Danio rerio: one gene and its partner. The protein of the gene in region 1 binds, or shares a complex with, the protein of each later gene. Links are inferred from orthologs where the notes say so. Each region holds a gene or a part of one and is shown on either strand. Other genes may lie near its edges. The genes, in order: apaf1 and casp9.

Region 1 (3,828 bases):
CTGGTGCAGAATGCATTCCTGCATGCCTGTGGTGGCTGAGGAAACCATTTTGAGTACCCGAAAATGCTATATTATTGCATTTAGCAATTTAAATTTGATGTAGTATTTATATATAAATGGATTCCATTAATGTATTTTTTTAAGGAATATTTTGTTTGTTAGTAACTGGGTATTAGTTTAAAATCAACTAGATGGATAAATGCTTGGTCAGATTTAAAGGTTTTATCAGTAATAAATTTCTTACATGTTGATAGTTTATATCTAAACTATAGAAACTATAGAAATTAAATCTAAAGAAGTTTGAACAATTGTAATATAAATAGAATAAATGCTAGATTATTTTATAAGTAATACCTGATCAGGTATAGACAGTCAGAATATAAATGAAAACCTAACCATATTATATAAAGTAGAGGGGTGAAATATACTAACTCACCAACCACTTAAATTGTGTTTTTTTTTTTTTGTCAGCTGTTTGAAGTGTCATCTGCGAACGAGTGGAAATCAATTGATGTCGATAGTTTTTTTCCTGAGAGTGACGAAGAAATAAAGGCCATGGTGAAATGCAGCACTTGGTCGGCTGACGGCTCACAAATCATCTGTGCTGCCAGAAACACAGTGTTTGTAAGTGATTTCATGAGTGGTTGCTGTGAAATGAGCTGGCACTGCCACTCAATATTTTTGATTTGGTGCCTGTAAATACAGCCTTTTTAAAATCTGATTCACACACAGTCAAAATTAAATAGCCAGTTTAACCTAAAATTAAATGTAATTCTCCATGGCATTGTTTCTTCTGTTGATTACAAAAGAAGACATTTAAGTTATGTTGGAAACCATTGGAGATTGACTTCCATTGTATTTTTCCTCTACTACGGAGGTCAATGATTGAGTGTTTTCAGGATATGAAATGGTGTTAGCAGAAGAAACTAAGACATTTGGTTTAAAAGGCTTAACTGGCTTAATCTTCTGTAATAAATGCTGAGTTTGAAAGTATTTCTAAAACATAACTTACGTACTCAACATACTCAAGCTGTTAGATGAGATTGGTTTGTTTTCTGATTGTATGTTGTGTGTTTGTGTGTAGGTGTTTGATGTGGAGACGTCAGACCTGCTGCTGGAGCTGAAGACGAGTCGTCTGAGCACTATTCAGTTCTGTCATGCGTGTCCTAACAGCAGCCTGCTGGCCGTCGCTCTCTCGCATTACACCGTAGAGGTACAAAACTGATCATGACTTTCTTTAAAACATTATTAAACATCAATAATTTACTGATATGGCAATTAACATGTAAAGCTGCAGTGACTAGACTTTGGACATGCGAAACATCTATGGATACTGCAATTGTTGTAGTATGATGTTAATCTATGCTATCCTTAAAGTAATTAACCATTCAAGCATAACTGAGATATAAAAATGTGTAATTTAACTTTTTGCGTGCGTATTTAAAAACCTATTGCTGTATGCCAATAACTGTTCTAAGGTTTTTGAACATAACCAGTGTTTTATTTTAGATTTTATATATATTTTTTAGATTGAATTAATTTAAATAATTTTATTTTATTCATAAATCATGTATAATTTTTTCTAACGCTGTTACACAGTCCCTCTGGGATTTTGGAAGTCCTGTCCTTCTAAGATTAAAAAAATATTTATATGTAGTTTTGTTCTATTTTACAAACTTTTAGTGCTTTCACAGCAAAATACAATAATTGAAGCTAATAAAGCCATAGGTTTTGAAGAAAGTGATCATAAAATCAGTGATTGATTTTATTGTAGGGAAGCCATGTTTTTGTGTTTTTTGTTTTTTTTGTTAACTCTGGTTGAAGTAATTCTGGCTGGCATAAGTGTGGTGAAGTGCTAAGAAGTGTTGTTTATTTCAGCTGTGGAACTTCGAAAGCAGTAAGAAGAAAGCCGAATGCAGTGGTCATCTGAGCTGGGTTCACTGTGTGCAGTTTTCACCCGACGGCTCACTCCTGCTGTCCTCCTCTGATGATCAGACTATCAGGGTGAGTTGCTTTTACTCCCGTCTTCCCTGCGTTGTGTCAGTTGCATTACAGCGATCTTTTGAACAGCACTGACCTGTGATCATGAAGTGTTGAATGTTATCCAGTTGTGGGAGACGGACCGGGTTCACACTTCTTCTGCTGTGGCTCTGAAGAGGGACACTGATGTGCTGTTCTCTCACAGTGATGCTACGATCATCGCACCCGATAGCAGTAACAGATTACAGGTACTGGACACAAGGGACCAGTGCAATTAGTTGATGTACTGCCATTTTTACTAGGATTTTTTTGCTCATTTGATCTGTTTATTTTTGTTAAGAAATATTAAAATCGGTTCCTTTTTTTTATTTTTTATTTTTTAATGGTTCAATTATTTTACTGCCGTTCTCACATTTTAAAAGCGAGCATTTTAAATTTAACATTAATTCATATCAAGATTTATTTATTTTTAATCAATTTATTAATTTCAAGCAATTAATGAATTTGATCATTAATTTTTTTTATTAAACATGTAGTATTTGAATTAAGTTGAATCAAATGTATTAACATTGTGTGTGAGGTGAGGTACATTTTTGTACATAGTTTTTTTTTTTTTTTGTTGTACAGATCAGTTTAACTTTTTGTCTTGAGGCAAGTTCTAATCATTTCAATTTTAAGCTACTAATTTATTACTACCAAACTGTCACAGGTGCTGAGTGGATCTACAGGTGCTGTCGTGCTTGAGAGCGAGGAGCTGTCATCCAGGATCCGCTGTTCGTGCATCAGCAGAAACGCTGCATTTGTGGCTCTGGGATCTGAGGACGGAACAGTACAGGTGCATCACCTCACCTAATCCAATTCTTAAAAAAACCTTACCTTCATTTTGGCCATGCGAAGCACTGTCAGACCTTCAGGGGATGCTAGTAGGTGTTTTGACTGTCCTCCGGCGATGAGATTTTGCCATGGCTGTCATCTGCAGTCAGTGTTTTCTTCACTCTCTGCTGTGTTTGATGGTGCTGGAGGCGGGTGTTGTCCTCTTGTGTTGTACTGGATATTTGGGACAGTTAAGATGCCTGGAGGTAACAGCTGACTGACAGAACGAAAGTGTGTTCTCGCATATATCACACTCCTCCTCTACTGCCAAACAAACATTTTAGATTTTAGAAAGTGTGACATGGATGAAAATAATCGGTTCATTATATAATCAATGTGTTGTTGACCGAGACAAATAATGTTTATGTACACACGTACACTTGGTTATTTTTGTAATGCTTAAACACTTCAGTTAACTTTAGTGTTTTCTTGGATTTTCTGGATTTACAGTTTGTAGTTATGTTTAATCTAAACAAATCTAAATCTTTTTTCCTGCAAAGTTCCAAGACACCAGAGGGCGCCAAATTGCAACTAGTGTGAAATGGACATCTAATGCATTTCATTTTTAATCTTGCAGGAAATATAGATGCCATATAACGATGCACTATGTATTTATTAATTGCATAATCTCCCCCACCTCAAGGAAAGTCAGACATCAGTGGAACAATGAAGGGTTGCTGTAGAGAGATGAGGTCTATGTTTTGTATGTTTGCACAGACAGGAAGGCTGAAAGTTCGACAGTTTCTGAAGACTGTTGGATGGAGAGCCTTGCAGCTGCTGAACATACAGCGTGATTTTGTGATGGCATTAGGGCTAGAGACAGGTACAGTGCAGGTATGGAGACTAACGGCATGTCTGAACGGCATTCACCCTGACAGCGCTTTTTATTTACAACGTCACAATTTAATTTAACCCACAGAAGTGTTAAATTAAAAACCTAAATGCAACTTCCCACAAAAAAAGTGGCACATTGGA
Region 2 (3,828 bases), on another chromosome or scaffold:
TGGCATCTTTAGCGAAGAAAGATCACTCTACATACGACTGCTGTGTGGTCATCATCCTTTCACATGGCACTGAGGTAAAACAATTAGCTAAATGCTACATATAATATATTCTATATTTGAACACTATTAGTTGCTCAACAAAGAAGAACAACCTTCATTTGTTTGCATGAGCGGTTTTGATTGCTTCCTCATTTTGGAGAACATCAAAATAGGATCCTACTACCAAATTATATTGTGGTTCTTTTGTGCTTTTTTAATGTTCAGGCAAGCCATAATCGATTCCCTGGTGCAGTTCATGGTGTTGACGGACCGGCTGTCCCAATTCAGATAATCACAAACTACCTCAATGGCCAGAACTGTCCTTCTCTTCAGGGCAAGCCCAAGTTATTTTTCATCCAGGCCTGCGGAGGAGGTGGGCACCTTAAAAATGTTTTACGAGTCTTGTAGCTAAAAATTGCTGACACATTTAAGCCATTTAAGCAACTACATGACAGGAGAGGAACGAGTTTACACATGTGAGCCTAGTGGGTTCTTCTGCCTCAACATTTCATGTATGCTCTTGTATAATAGACTGTAAAAAAAAAGACAAACATATTATTAAAAAAGTGAAGTCAGAATGTCCCAAATTTAAAAAAAAACACAATCAGCATGGTAAGAACTACTTTATACTGTCGAAAAATTTCTTTAAAGTGCAATTAGATTATTTTTTTTGACTCTCGTAACATTCATTTACATGGAGAGGGTCAGGTTTATGACCTGTACTGCAGCCAGCCACCATCAAAATAGCTTCAGTTTTCAGGCATGTTGTAAGTGCACCGTCCACATAGTAGAATTTGAGTTGCACAGTGAATGGTGTGCATCATTTATGGAAGGTATCATACTGTAGTCGGCAAAATGTAGCGCTGTTGCCTCACAGCAAAAAGGTCGCTGGTTCAAGCCCCGGCTGGGTCAGTTGGCAATTCTGTGTGGAGTTTGCATGTTCTTTCCGTGTTTGCGTGGGTTTCCTCCAGGTGATCTGGTTTCCCCCACAAGTCCTAAGACATGCGCTATAGGTGTATTAGGAAAACTAAATAGTTCATAGTGTATGTGTGTATGTTGAACCTTGGGCTAATGACCCACCTCATAAAAATTTGATGTTACGAAACACCAAACACCAACATGGTGTGGCTAAATATCAACTTCGAAATAAACATCCCTGGGAGTAAGTAATTAAGAAAGTATCATACTGTAGTCATATAACACACAGAGTTTGACTACGTTGAAGTGGCAGTTCTGAAGATGATTCTTTAATATTTGCAGACATGAACATATTGACCATTATGAAGTGGAGACTTTTATGGAATGCAATATAATGGTTGATACTTGCATATTTACATGCATTATATAAAGTTTAACAGAACGGTATCCTACACAAGTGAGAATGAGTTTTTTTTAGTGATGCAGTTAATGTTAGGCCTCCAGAAATTATCAACCAAAAATAGTATTTTGCTCTTCAGCTGAAAAAGAAAGGAGGCCAACAAATAAGCCCAAAAAAGGCTGTGCATTACTGGCTTGCAGTGTTTAGTGGGCAGGTTTTAGTCTTCGTCCAGCCATAGTCACTGCTTGAGGTGAAGCAGCTTTCACACTGGATGTGGAAAGTACTGGTCTATGAAACCCATTCATTTCAATGGTTTGTGTCGCTCAAGAGCAGTTTCGACCAACATGTGCCACGATCAATATTCCGCTCTGTGGATATTTCGCTCATGTTCTCATATACTTTTTCATGTACGCTTAAATAACAAGCCAACAAGAAATTTCTATGTAGTATACTTGTTCTTGCTGCTTGTAATAGTGCTATAGGGTGCATGCGATGAACTTTTAATATTTCAGTAACCTGGGTCAAATGCTTTCGGTGAACTGTATGCCATTACAAAATCAATGCGTTTAGGTCTGTTTTCTTTAAAAATCAACGATCTCCACTGGCTGATTGATTTACGATATGAAGTGGGTTTCAAAATGCACAAGAAGCACTGCATTAAATAACATTTTTCCCATGACATGTCTTTAAAATTTAGTTACCTCAGAGTTTCTGCTGATCCTGACAGAGGTGTGCATGTAAAAGGCTTTTTATCTAATTTTACGCTTAAACAGTGAAATAAATGCTGAAGTCTATTATATTTTAATTACATTAAAACATTGATGTTGAAAAAGGAACTGTATAAAATTTTTAAAAAGTCATAATAACCGTTCACCAGATATTTATTGGTATGGGAGGAAACACTAGCTGTGCACAACACTTTTAAAATGCCACTTCTCTTAAATATTTACTGTCAATAAAATGTGGTTATTTTATTTACTTTTGTGTTTTTTTATCAGTTTAATTTAAGTTATTGAGTAATATTTTTTTAAGTTCTACAAAATGATTGCTTATTGTTTATTAAAATAAAAAAATATGATAACAAAGCATTTTCACTCTAGGTTTTGCATCCACAATATTTGGTTTTGGCCCAGAATTTTAATGTGTGTGCATCATTAGTTAGTATGCAAATGTCTCAATGCGCCAGTGTACAAATTGTCTCACTTTGATTAGCTTTTGTGGTTGTTGACACATCAAAGTGGTCAAACACCATATGCTGACATTGTCATATTTTCTTCATTTTGTTTAAAGTTATGTCTCTTATCACCATCTGTACCGAATGTTGGTGAAAACTGATTAAAAAAACTGCATCAAAAAGACTGTCATGAAAACCGGGCATTCAAGAGTTTGGCTCTGTCCAAACACCCACACTTGGCCTTTTGAAAGTGTGTGCATGCAACAGGAAGTACACAAGATTATATGAGCTCTTAAAAACACCAACATGTAGCACCATTAACACACACTAAATGTACAGCAGAGTAAGTGTAAAACACTCAGCGGATAAACAAAGTGCTAACGTGCAATGATGAATGTGTAAAATTGGTACATTATTTAAAATGATTATATGTATTATTACATTGTACTGTCTGTTACAGGTAAGACCAAACATTCATTTAGATCTTTATTTTAAAATCCTAAGTATTAAAAATCAAAATGAAGCTTAGTAAACACTTGCATTACAAGTGTGTCTAGTGGGAAAATACAAAGTTAGTCTACAGGCAGGTTGAAAACTTGGCCCAAATACAAGAAATGTGCTATCTAAGTATATGTAAAGTGCAAAGATGCACATTTGAGTATTTTTAAAGGCACACAATGCAGTCTTCAGCCTAAACAGTCATTTGTGTATGGACTCCAAACATCAGTGGAACCATTTAAACAACCCAAGACTTTATTTTAATTGAATGTTTTCCATGTTGATTGCTATTTTTCAAACTATGGAACTGTCTATTGTTTGCTCCTGTAGGTGAGAAGGATATTGGTTTTGAGGTTTCTCCAGATGACGTTCAACCATCTATAGGTGGGATAGATGACGAGATGGACGCTATTCCCATGTCCTCTAGCAGTGACTCTCTCAGCACAGCGTCTGATGAACTTGATGCACGGGCAAGTTTGCCCACGCCCAGTGACATCCTGGTGTCCTACTCAACATTTCCAGGTTTGTGTTTGGATCAGGGGCTGTCATTTCAGCCCCCTTAAACGTATTAACTCTGAAAGATCTAAAAATAATGATAATAAATTGAGATATTATGTTATGATAGCAATCACAGTATGACAAACCAAGTTAATTTTTGTTTTTTTTTATTTATTTATTTTTTTAATTCTGCTAATGCCTATTCTGTAGCTTTAGCTGTAAGCAAGGAGGATGTGACTTGAAATTCGCCTAAATGCTTGACTTTCATTAATTATAGATGTTTTTATTATTGTTCAATTGT

Evidence for each region.
Region 2: the proteins of apaf1 (region 1) and casp9 are in contact, whole or in part, in a crystal structure (PDB 4RHW), measured with the Homo sapiens proteins. The link is inferred for Danio rerio from reciprocal best matches to the Homo sapiens genes APAF1 and CASP9. Residues at the interface, in NP_863651.1 of Homo sapiens: Thr22, Ser23, Tyr24, Met26, Asp27, Ile30, Ser31, Ile37, Glu40, Glu41, Arg44; in NP_001220.2 of Homo sapiens: Asp23, Trp26, Asp27, Leu30, Arg36, Pro37, His38, Glu41, Gln44, Arg45.

What each region holds. Positions count from the first base shown.
Region 1 is NC_133179.1:18,443,106-18,446,933, forward strand, and holds part of apaf1 (apoptotic protease-activating factor 1), read left to right. Parts: intron 1-471; coding exon 472-624; intron 625-1,084; coding exon 1,085-1,213; intron 1,214-1,878; coding exon 1,879-2,004; intron 2,005-2,108; coding exon 2,109-2,228; intron 2,229-2,689; coding exon 2,690-2,815; intron 2,816-3,570; coding exon 3,571-3,687; intron 3,688-3,828. UniProt on the Homo sapiens protein: Oligomeric Apaf-1 mediates the cytochrome c-dependent autocatalytic activation of pro-caspase-9 (Apaf-3), leading to the activation of caspase-3 and apoptosis. This activation requires ATP. Isoform 6 is less effective in inducing apoptosis.
Region 2 is NC_133198.1:27,922,995-27,926,822, forward strand, and holds part of casp9 (caspase-9), read left to right. Parts: coding exon 1-74; intron 75-264; coding exon 265-412; exon of another isoform or gene 413-896; intron 897-3,359; coding exon 3,360-3,551; intron 3,552-3,828. UniProt on the Homo sapiens protein: Involved in the activation cascade of caspases responsible for apoptosis execution. Binding of caspase-9 to Apaf-1 leads to activation of the protease which then cleaves and activates effector caspases caspase-3 (CASP3) or caspase-7 (CASP7).